Daphnia pulex: one gene and its partners. The protein of the gene in region 1 interacts with the protein of each later gene in a pairwise test. Links are inferred from orthologs where the notes say so. Each region holds a gene or a part of one and is shown on either strand. Other genes may lie near its edges. The genes, in order: cytoplasmic protein NCK1-like, sorting nexin lst-4-like and neural Wiskott-Aldrich syndrome protein-like.

What was found.
Region 2: the proteins of cytoplasmic protein NCK1-like (region 1) and sorting nexin lst-4-like interact in a two-hybrid assay, tested with the Drosophila melanogaster proteins (2 studies listed by BioGRID). The link is inferred for Daphnia pulex from reciprocal best matches to the Drosophila melanogaster genes dock and SH3PX1.
Region 3: the proteins of cytoplasmic protein NCK1-like (region 1) and neural Wiskott-Aldrich syndrome protein-like interact in a two-hybrid assay, tested with the Drosophila melanogaster proteins (2 studies listed by BioGRID). The link is inferred for Daphnia pulex from reciprocal best matches to the Drosophila melanogaster genes dock and WASp.

What each region holds. Positions count from the first base shown.
Region 1 is NC_060024.1:8,484,426-8,488,178, reverse strand, and holds the start of cytoplasmic protein NCK1-like, read left to right. Parts: upstream 1-1,053; 5' UTR 1,054-1,247; coding exon 1,248-1,269; intron 1,270-1,355; coding exon 1,356-1,781; intron 1,782-1,851; coding exon 1,852-2,095; intron 2,096-2,159; coding exon 2,160-2,304; intron 2,305-2,383; coding exon 2,384-2,704; intron 2,705-2,768; coding exon 2,769-2,863; intron 2,864-2,926; coding exon 2,927-3,098; 3' UTR 3,099-3,753. Other genes in the region: trimethyllysine dioxygenase, mitochondrial-like, read left to right, coding at 1-132, 201-471. UniProt on the Drosophila melanogaster protein: Adapter protein that links cell surface receptor tyrosine phosphorylation to downstream signaling pathways and effectors, many of which are involved in regulation of the actin cytoskeleton.
Region 2 is NC_060028.1:5,996,140-5,999,892, reverse strand, and holds the start of sorting nexin lst-4-like, read left to right. Parts: upstream 1-1,014; 5' UTR 1,015-1,201; coding exon 1,202-1,213; intron 1,214-1,369; coding exon 1,370-1,531; intron 1,532-1,681; coding exon 1,682-1,789; intron 1,790-1,856; coding exon 1,857-2,217; intron 2,218-2,295; coding exon 2,296-2,448; intron 2,449-2,514; coding exon 2,515-2,749; intron 2,750-2,821; coding exon 2,822-2,965; intron 2,966-3,028; coding exon 3,029-3,224; intron 3,225-3,277; coding exon 3,278-3,484; intron 3,485-3,562; coding exon 3,563-3,610; 3' UTR 3,611-3,753. Other genes in the region: protein AATF-like, read right to left, coding at 1-672, 735-825.
Region 3 is NC_060019.1:7,011,742-7,015,494, reverse strand, and holds the start of neural Wiskott-Aldrich syndrome protein-like, read left to right. Parts: upstream 1-1,489; 5' UTR 1,490-1,632; exon of another isoform or gene 1,633-1,649; intron 1,650-1,692; exon of another isoform or gene 1,693-1,838; 5' UTR 1,839-1,857; coding exon 1,858-1,959; intron 1,960-2,027; coding exon 2,028-2,255; intron 2,256-2,327; coding exon 2,328-2,424; intron 2,425-2,485; coding exon 2,486-2,772; intron 2,773-2,872; coding exon 2,873-3,658; 3' UTR 3,659-3,753. Other genes in the region: wiskott-Aldrich syndrome protein-like, read left to right, coding at 1-192; pleckstrin homology domain-containing family J member 1-like, read right to left, coding at 390-623, 692-755, 818-987, 1,055-1,190, 1,258-1,307.

The DNA of each region.
Region 1 (3,753 bases):
TGATCCTTCTGCCTACGATTATTTGTCCAAAGTAAATATGGAAGCCGAGTATATTGAACCAGGTGAGCATTTCTCTTCTTGGGGTCCCATCTTCCGTCATCATCCAGTGAGCCATAAGTTGGAACAGATTCGGTAAGATACTTTTGTCTGAATAAAAAGGCGTTTCTATTTTAATTACAGTAAATTTATTCTTTATTCAGGTTCAACATGCTAGATCGGTCGCCTCTTTCTGGTATCCCACAAGAGGAAGTCGGTACCCATTATCGTTATCTAAAAACCATGGCGACGCTCGTAAAGAAAAAAGAAAACGAATATCGGTTTCGTCTCTCACCAGGAACCGTGATGATAATTGATAACTGGAGGCTCTTGCATGGGCGTGAAAGTTATCAGGGTGAAAGAGTATTGAGAGGTTGTTATTATTCCCGATCGGACTTTATGAGCAAAGCGCGACATTATGGAATAATATCTTGATTAAACTGCGCCACGATTAATTCGTCAATGCACAATAAAACAATACCATTTTCAAGACAAATTATTTGTTATTTTAAACCCGCATTTGGAAACGCATAGAAATTTTCGAATTTAATGTAAACTGAATATGATTACCGGAAAATAAATAATCATCAATTTAAAAAAAATTATAAAAGACTCGTCAGCTCCGCAAAAATAAAATGTGAATAAAACAATTTAATGTGTAGTAAAAAAAATTCATAAATGATATTACTGGCGTGGTCCAGTGGTTATGGTACCCGATCATCATGAGGTGGAAAGATTGGGATGGTTTCACCTGCGGCTCGTGGATACTAGTCAAACTAGCTAAATGAAGTACAGCATAAATAGAAATAAGTCTCTTAGTTCCCTCTTGGCTGAGCAACTATTTGAAAATGCAACAGTGCAATAATCGTAATCTGTTACGATATTGCATGCGCGGAAATCATTCCAATGACCAAAATTGATGGATCAATCCTCTATAAATTCTAAACTTTTTTTACAATGTAAATTTCACATTTTATTTCTCGTCAGCTCCGCTCTAGCCTTTAAAGTAAATGGCAACTCAGCAGGCATCGTATTCAACATGGCAGCTAACTAAAAACTGGCCCTGCCCACGAAAAGTTTTTCGAGGATTAAAATCGATAAAGACGAGTCATTGAATTGAATTTGCATCGTTCAGCTTGAGTATTGCTCAAAATCAAAGCATTTTTGGGCAGTGATTGCTCATTGGTGTCCGCTAAGGGTCGCACAACATAATGTCTAGCAGTCTAAAAATGGGTATGTTGGTTTATTATTATAGGGTGACTCATTATGCAGTTGTCATTAGTTGATGTTTATATGTTGGTTTATTGCATTCGTTTCAGGCAAAGCCATTGAAGACTGTTATGTCATTGCAAAGTATGATTATGTTGCCCAAGGATCACAGGAGTTGAGTTTAAGGAAGAATGACAAACTTCTATTGCTGGATGACTCAAAACATTGGTGGAAAGTTCAAAATTCTCAACACCAATGGGGATATGTCCCTAGCAATTATGTGAAGAAGGAGAAACCATCTATATTTGACTCAATCAAGAAGAGAGTGAAAAAAGGGAATAGCATCAACAAATCCTCCAACAGTCCCGGTGGCTCTCCCGTGAGAGAAGTTGATTCTCCAGTAGTAATCAAGCGCCCTTCTCCTGATACATCACATTATCCAGCTCATGATCTCAATGCAGGGCCTCACCAAGGCTGGGCGCTTGTTCGTTACAATTATGTTGCTCAGCAAACTGATGAATTGTCTCTTGTGAAAGGTAACTTGTTGCAAATTGACGTCAACACCCCCAGTATGTTTACTAACACTTCAATCAATGCATTTATTAGGAACAAAGGTGCTCGTGCTTGAAAAAAGCAGTGATGGTTGGTGGAAAGGTCAATACCAAAACCAAATTGGATGGTTTCCATCAAATTATACCCTCCCAGATTCATTACAACAGCAGCAGCAGCCTGTAGCAAACATGACAGCAAGCGTCGCACCGCCGGCTGCATCAGCTATGGTTATGTCTGCGGGAGAACACATGTACTCAGCAGCCGAGAATGTTTTGGATGTCGTAGTTGCTCTTTACAGGTAAGCCGAATTTTAGTCATTAATTTGGATTAAAATTTATTTTGGTATTTGATATATTTTACAGCTTTGCTGCACAAAATAACGAAGAACTAAGCTTCGTTAAAGGCGAGAGACTTGAAATTCTTGATCGTCCACCTGCAGATCCGGATTGGTATCGAGCCCGGAACACCAATGGTTCAATTGGTTTGATTCCAAAGAACTACGTTCAGGTATTATTTCGTCGTGACTAATTAATTATTGGTAACGTTATGCTCGTTACAATAAAACTTGTTCTTCTTGTTTCTTTAGGAGATTAGCGACTTTTTGACCGAACCTTTCCGTCAACGAGCACCTGGTGGTAATGGTGCTCCAGGTGGGCCTCCTGTCAGCAATTTGCCCCCGATGCCGAACAACGGAAGTAACGCAGTAGACGGCATGGGGCGAAGTTTGGATGCCTTGAGTTTGAATACACCTCCCGCCGTATCTGCTAGCCTGAGCCAGGATCCTAATTTCCCTCACTTGAAAGAAAAATCCTGGTTTTACGGAGCCATCACCCGAGCTGAATGCGATAATCTACTTAATCAGTATGGTCAAGATGGAGACTTTCTTGTGCGATCATCTGAAACCAACGTAATTTGTTTAAAAAAAAAACTATTTTAGAGTTTACGTTTACTAATTCATTTGTAAATAATAGGTTGGAGATTACTCCGTGTCTCTGAAAGCACCCGGTCGCAATAAGCATTTCCGAGTCCACGTCGAAGGAGCTTTGTATGTCATCGGTCAGCGGAGGTAAGATCGGATTATATTCATTTCATAGTCTTCCAATTACATTCTGATTAATATTCGAATTAGGTTCCATTCTATCGACCAGTTGGTAGACCACTACCAAAGATCCCCCATTTTCACGTCAGAAAAAGGAGAACGTCTCTTCCTTATCCGACCACTACCCAAGCCTGTCGGATATATCCCACCTTCTTTTGCACCACCCACTCCGGCGACAAGACCGATGCAACCGATGGCCTAATGGCGGTCTTAACACAAGTAGCTCTAACCAAATGTGTGGGTTTATTACGAACCCACTGTTCTCTCTTTGAAGGATAAAAAAAAAAAAAAAAAACACAGAAGAGACAACTCTCTCATCTCTTTCGATAGCTCCCCCACCCCAATAACTTTTTTCTCGCCGTTGACAACGATCCATTTAATTCATTTATGCAATTATTCGGCATTCATCAGATACGACCCAAGGGCACTTGGAGAGTGCGTTTTCAAGCTCACTTGATGAATTTAATCTCGTAGCTAGCCCGATATATTGGACAGACTTACTCCCAGTTAGTTTCCTTAAATTTTGATTGATAACACTAAAGGGGCACAGCAGCAACAACAACAACAAAAAGTAACGGTTTCCAAAATATGAGAAGAGATGGCGAGTGAAAAAGGAAACACAAAATATATAACTTCAGGAGGGCACCGGTGGTATCACGGGTCCATTCGTTTATTCAAATTTTTGGTTTTTGATTATTATCAATTTTTTCTTCAAATAATCATTCTATCGCCATCTTTTTGAGGGTTTCAGTTAAATTGAGGGATGTGTGGGTTTAAGAAGGGATTCGCTTGCTTTCATTCCCAGATTGGTCGCTCACTCGTCATCACCATAGACCTCAGTGGAACTGTGCGTTATT
Region 2 (3,753 bases), on another chromosome or scaffold:
TTATTCCTTTATGCATCTTTATACGACACTCAAGAAGATGATCCCATAATGAGAGTTGATTTTGGATAGATTTTCCCTTGTTTATATCATTATCATGAGAATTTTTTGACATTTTTTTAACTTTTTCATTTTCTTCTCCTTCACTGTCATCTACACTTCCAATGTCTCCTTCCTCTTCTTCCTCCTCTTCTCCCTCCTCTTCACCCTCCTCTTCACCCTCCTCTTCACCCTCCTCTTCACCCTCTCCTTCTTCAAAATCAGCTTCTTCGTCATCTTCAGATTTATTCAATTCACTTTCATTACTATCTTCTTCATGAATATCAGATTTCAATGAACCACTTTCGTCTTCTGATTCCTGGAAGATGTTGGGTTTCTCTGATTTGTTGTTTGTTTCTTTCATGAATTTGTTCTTAAATTCCAGAATATTTTCTTCCCCACTTTCATTATCAGATTCTAAAGATGACTCAGAACTTTTGTAGCCTTCTCCTACAGGAGAATTTAGATCTTTGCGACTGACACGCTTCCCAGCATATCGGCTATCTGAAACAGCTAATAATTCCACATTCTTTTGGCGTAGATTAGATTTATTTTTTGGTGCTTTATTCTTAACCACCTGAGTGTTATCATACGACTCATATTGGTCATCAAAGGACTCCAGCCTTGCTTTACTTTCTAGAAAGATTAGAAACACTTTAAGAAAAACAAGTAGGTGTTATTTTGTTTCAATTTGTTACCTTCGTTATATTCATCTTCTGGATCAGCAAACTGAGGTGTTGGATTGGCAAGTTCGGCTAATCTTTCACTTAGGGATTTGCCTTTCGACATTTCATAAATAAATGTTTCACAATGTATACATTTAAGTTTCAGTATTCTAAAATAATTGATACCGCGTGTCGCGTGTTTTACTACCAATACACGTTGCAGACGAATTCGAACAATCGTACTTCTTTTGTTTTTCTTTCAAACCAATGCAGTTAATATCTTTCTACAGTAGATGGCATTACTTACTAGACAGAAGAAACATTAGGGCCTTAAAATGTCACTCGGGTCTCAGATTTTGTAACTTATCGTTTGGTTTCAGATTCAGCTCTGCTCATCACTGACTCATTCCTCTCAGCTGTTATTAGGGGGCGAGACGAAATCAGTTTGACAGCACACAGCAGCAGGGGTATTGTAAAAAGCTGAGTTTTTATTCTTCGAGATGGCTGGTCAGGTAACTTTTGAGTTTTGATTCCGGTTTTTCTAATTATCAGTTTCGTCTTCTAGTTAGAACTATAAATTTTCTCACTCCTGTAACTGCTGTTACCATTTCATTAACCATATCCGGTTTCGAAACCAGTTTAATTTACAAAATGAATCGTTTTTCTAGGCGCGCGTCCTTTATGATTTTGAAGGCCAGCCTGGCACATCTGAACTATCTATTGTTACTGGTGAAGTTCTAACTGTCACTAGTAAGGATGTTGGTGAAGGATGGTGGGAAGGTAGTAATCAACGTGGAGTTAGTGGAATATTTCCTGCAGCCTACGTTGAGGTATGAATTTCTTCCTACTCCTGTTATGTCATGCATGCTAGTGTAAAACCAGAAAAGAATTTTGTATCATTTGGATTTTTCTGTATTAATAACATGTAAATTGAATTATTTTAAACCTCAAAAAACCATTTTATTGTATTAATTCAACAGGCTATTGAACAAAATTACAATGCACCTCCTGCTATGCCTCCTCCTCCATTGCCCCAGATATACGTAGAGGAAAATGTAGCTCCAGCGATTCAACAGCAACAATCACAGGTATTCCAAAAACATTGTGGAGATTCCTGGTAACTGTATTAATAAGGTATTTTCAATCTACTTCCAGTACGACGATGATTGGGATGACGACTGGGATGATGACGTTTCTGAAGCCAACCAAGGTAGCAATCCGGGAAACCCTGCTGCAGGTGGGAGAAGCAATAGCGACGTTGGTAGTGCGCTTGATGTCAACATGGCAGGGTTGAAATTGGGAGACGGTAAAGGAACCGTTCGTAAAAATTTGAACCGGTTTTCTCACTTCGTTAAAACTGGCGGAGAAGCTTACATTCTGGGGGCAAACAAAGTGACGTCCACTGATAGTGACCAAATCCACATCATCGAAACCAACAACGGTATCACATGGGCTCCGAATCCTCAACCTTACTCGTGTGTAGTGGCTTCACCAAAGAAAGAATCAAAATTGAAAGGTAATATTTTTACAACCTAGTCGACTAATTTTTAAATATAATTTAATGTGTCAACTTGTTTCTATGTTTTCATCGTAGGCCTAAAAAGTTTCATTGCCTACCAGTTGACACCGTCGTTAAACAATATCCAGGTTTCTAGGCGATACAAACATTTCGATTGGCTTCACGAAAGACTTGTGGAAAAATTTTGCATCATTCCCATTCCTCCCCTTCCAGACAAGCAAATTTCTGGTGATTTCTTATATTTGTAGAATTTTTGGTTGAAGTCGATTTGCTGAACTTGTGTACTTAAAATAGGTCGGTATGAAGAACAATTTATCGAGCGAAGACGTCTACAGTTGCAATCATTTGTTAGCCGTGTGTGTGACCACCCAATTCTCTCACGCTCCGATGTCTGGTTGCACTTTTTAACGTGCACAGATGCCAAACGATGGAAAACGGGCAAGCGGAAAGCTGAAAAAGACGAAGTAATTGGCGCCGCAATCTTTGGTGTTGTACAAGTACCAGAAAAGTCGCTTGACCCACTACAACTGTAAGTTTTTGTTGTTGTTTTTTTTTTTTTCAACTGTTTATTTGATCGCTTTTACATTTTTCTTGATCATAGTGACTCTCAGACCGAAGCTTTTGGGCGTTTCGTGCAGTCGTTTGATACAGCTGTCCGCATGATGCAAAGCAACTTTGCCGAACAAGTAAAACGGCAGCAAGGTCCATATAAACGCGACTATCAACGTGTTGGCCAATCATTCAGGTAGGTTTCAAAGAGAAGTGCTCCGCCCTTGTATTGTTGTTAACCAACTGTTTGTCTCTGTAGAACTCTTGGCACGGCTATGGAATTGCTAGAGACAGCTCCTCTGACCAGAGCACTTTCCCATACTGCTGACACGTATGATCAGATAGCTCTTCTTTGTGAGGACCAACCACGATTGGATTTCGAGCCGATGGGAGATTTACTACACGATTATCGTGGACTACTTGCCTCATTTCCCGACATCATTACCGTCCACAAGGTAACCCAGCAATTTCGGCAATTTTTAAAACAATACTAATTTTTAATTTATAGGGGGCCCTTCAAAAGCGGCGCGAGTTGGAACGCTCCGCATCTGAGGGTAAAACGGAAAGCACCGTTGTAGTTCGTGCTCAACAACGAACAGATGTTGTTTCCTACACGCTACTGGCTGAAATGTCCTATTTCCATCAACAACGTGTTCACGATTTTAATGCAGCCGCAAAAATCTTCCTACAGGAACAGATCACTTACTATCAAAAGGTTATTATTTATTTTTCCTTTTTTTTCTTTTTGCAACTTCTCTACTAATACCAGATGTTTGAAATGTATTTCATTTAGATTGTCGATCATCTGCAGTCCACCTTATCCCAGTACAAGGATGTCTAAGAAAAAACAACAACCGCAGTACTCGGATTTTAAAAGTCGCATTATTTTTTTTTAATTCCATTCCTTCATGCGAATGAACGAAGTTTCTCCTAATTACTTTGGAATCCTGGCCGCCACGGATTTTATCTTTTGTTTTCTTTCTT
Region 3 (3,753 bases), on another chromosome or scaffold:
CTGTACAATGTTGATAACCAATTGATTCAAACATTCTTGACCGGCTTTTGCAACCGAATCAGTAACTGCACACCAAAAGAAAATAACCATCAACGTTCACGGCCACGCAGCTTCAAAAGAAAGAAGATTTCTAAAAACGACATTAGTTTGCCTGTTGATGTCAATGTGATACAGCGGAATAGCCAATTGTAACAAGTGCAAACCAATGCGACGAACGAGAGGCAGTTTTTCTTTGAGCCATTATTTAATGACTAGATTTCGAAAATCAGCCGAACATAACTTAATTTGCTTAATAGAGGAATGTTAATATTAATTACACAAATCTATCTAAATCTCTTTATGATTGGCACGTTTTTTTTAAGTCGGACGGTTGTTTTTTTCATCACTAATCACCATTTGATCAAGTCTTGATCAGGCTGTTTGTTATCACTTATGAAAGAATTTATCGGCAGGGGATTTTCGTCAGACATGTGACTCACAAATGTTTTTGCTTTAGGCCCGATACGTTTTCTGGCTGGGGGCGTAGGTAAAGCGGGAACTGCAGAATTGGAAGGCTGTTTAAATACACTACTTGGTGTAGTACTACTTGATGATGCTGCTGTGGTACTCCATTTAAAAATGCTCTGAACATACCAAAGATTTTATCATTTTAACAATAATTTTCCCTTAAAATTTTTCCTTTTAAACTTACCTTTCCACCAAGACTTTCCAGTTTACTCTCTAAAATTTTGACTTGGATTCTCAAATGTTCATAACTAAATAAAAATTAATTTTATGTCAGCACTGTCCATGTATGAATTATTATGAAAAATTTTACCTGGCTTGCCTCAAGGCTATGACCCAATTCTGTGCTTGATTCACACTGAAGCAAGAGAACACATGTCTGTCTTGATCACCAGAGAAAGTAACAACAAAAGCAAATACCCCAGATCCATCTTCATCAAATGCTACGGAGCAATTTTCTAAAACTATCACACCAATAGGCTCCTGCAAATGAAATTTTAACAGCTTAAAAATGAGACCAAAATTCTTATTTTCTGTACTTCAAACCTACATTTCCTTTAATTCCTCCAAAATTGTTCAAACCGAAGTAAAAAAGAAGATTGCCTGTCAATTTAAACCAGAATTCCTTGAAATTTCCTTTCGACTTTCCCGGATGAAGAACTCTGTAATTTATTCTTCCTTCAATCCTATTTCAAAAAGAATTTTTGTATAATAGTCATCGTATTTATTCTAATACACAATCTAATGTCTCACGTCGCAGGTTTGAAGGAGGTGGTTATTAATTCTTTTCCATTCACATGCATTTTGGTTTAAAGAATCACTGAAAAAAATATATATATTCATCAACAAGATAAAAAATAATGATATATGGAGCAAATCGAATGAAGAGATAAAAGCACAAAAAGATGAAGTTCTTAGAAATGAAAGGCGATCAACATTCCGAACATGAAGTAAACAACTGATCCCAACCCGTGATTCTCATAGCGTTTATGAATTTACCGCTAGATGGAATTGTTTCGTCCTGTCTGATGTGGACCAAACCATTGGACCGTATTGGACTATTTCCTCAAGATAAAACTCTCGTATCTTAAAATTGTGAAACACCGTGTGTAGATCTTCATGAGACTGGTAAGGGAGTGACTGCCGTAAGTGTTTATGAAATAAGCGTATAAATAATAATTCAATTGAATGATAATCGTGAAAAATTCGTTCAAACAATAAGAACTACTTATCCTTATTTACAGTTGTGTGACAGTTACAATTTAATATAAATTTGTCGATGTGTTTACTAGTTTTCGATCGAAAGTTTAATTGACACATTTTGAAAAATCTAGAACCAGTAATAACATTGCCATGACTGCTGCCAAGCGTCCCCAACCTGAAAACAAACCATCATCTATTCTTTCACTAGAAGAAAATGATCAATTATTTAAACTCATTGGCTTGCGCTGCAAAGTAAGTCCCCCCAGTACTAGATTCTTCTAAAAGTCAACATTTAATGTTTTGTAATTTTTCTTTTTCAGAGTATGGCGTCAGCTGTGGTTCAGGTCTGTTTTGCTGATCCACCCAATAGATCCACATGGAACAAACGGCATTGTGGTGTAGTCTGCTTCATCAAAGATAATATCAAGAGATCCTATTTCCTTAGAGTATTTTGCCTCGACAGGCAATCTGCCATCTGGGAGCAAGAATTGTACAGTTCTTTTGACTACTGTGCACCAAGACCTTACTTTCACACTTTTGAGGGAGATGTGAGTCCTGACATTCATTTGATCATATTAGTAAATTACAATATCAATTTGGTTAATATTTTTCGAATGCAGGAATGTCGCATCGGGTTTAATTTTGCTAATGAAGGCGAGGCAGAATACTTTCTGATGGCTATCAAAGAATATTTGAGGATGAAATCGGAGAAACGAGGTGTGTACATTTTGATGTTGACAAATAATGGTTGATTAATAGCTCAGTTGTTGTGTTTTAGAACGCCGTCGTTTATCACAGCAGCAAGTGCAGCAACCGCAACCAGGAAAACCCACGCCAGTCGCCACGAACGGATCGGTACCAAAATCTACAGCAGTACGATCAGCGACAATCACAAACAGTATAACCGTGACAAAAAAAGGGAAGAAAGACAAGAACAAGAAAATTACCAAAGCGGATATTGGAGGGCCATCAGATTTCAAACACATCAGTCACGTTGGATGGGACCCCAATCAAGGATTTGCACTTGACAACGTCGATCCAAATCTGTTGAAGTTCTTCGCCAGAGTAAGACGACTATTTCGCTCAGCATTTCTGTGTTTAACTTTTCTATGGTCTTAACTTAACTTCTGTTATGGTTTAACTTTTTTTTCTTTTGTAATGAAAGGCCGGCATATCGGAGAATCACTTGAAAGACAAAGCAACACGTGAATTCATCTACGATTTTATCGACAAACATGGAGGAAAAGAAGCGGCTATTCGTGAGATTTCGAGTTTACAGTCATCCGGCGGCAGTTTGTTTTCAGCACCTCCGGTGCCAGCAAGGAATCCTCCGTCTACACCTCAGACGGCAAGGATCGCTCCTCCGGCACCACCCGTTTCAGCTCCACCGCCGCCACCTTCAAGAGTGATTGCCTCCCCTCCATCTGTTGCTCCTCCAGCACCTCCTCAACGTGCCCCACCACCGAAAATGGCACCAATTAACAACGTTGCACCCCCACCACCTCCTGTCGGTGCACCTCCTCCTCCTCCACCACCTCCACCGCCTCCTTCATTTGGTGGACCTCCTGCTCCTCCTGTTCCTTCATTTGTTGTTTCGTCTCCGTCACTCCCACCCACTCCAGCTCAACCCGATGTCCGTGGCGCCCTGATGGACGCCATCAAAGAGGGACACAAACTCAAATCGGTGCCGAGTGATGCCGATCAATCGATGAAGAGTGGCGCTAAAGTGCCAGCCTTCGATTCACGCAACGATTTGTTGGGTCAAATAAGAGCAGGAAAGGAACTGAAACCCGTGGAGAAAAAGGCTTCTGTTGTTGCCGTCAGCGACGATGTCATGGAAGGTATGGCCGGTGCCTTGGCCAGGGCCTTGGAGGAAAGATGTCGTGTCATCCATTCCGACAGTGATGAAAGCGGCCAGGACCCAGATGAAGATGACGATTGGGACGATTAATAAAATTTTTGTGAAAATCGTTCCCTATATCAAAAGCAGTCCTCGAGTTTGACGTAGTATTATTTTAAAGAGACTTATTAGTCTTTTATCTTTCA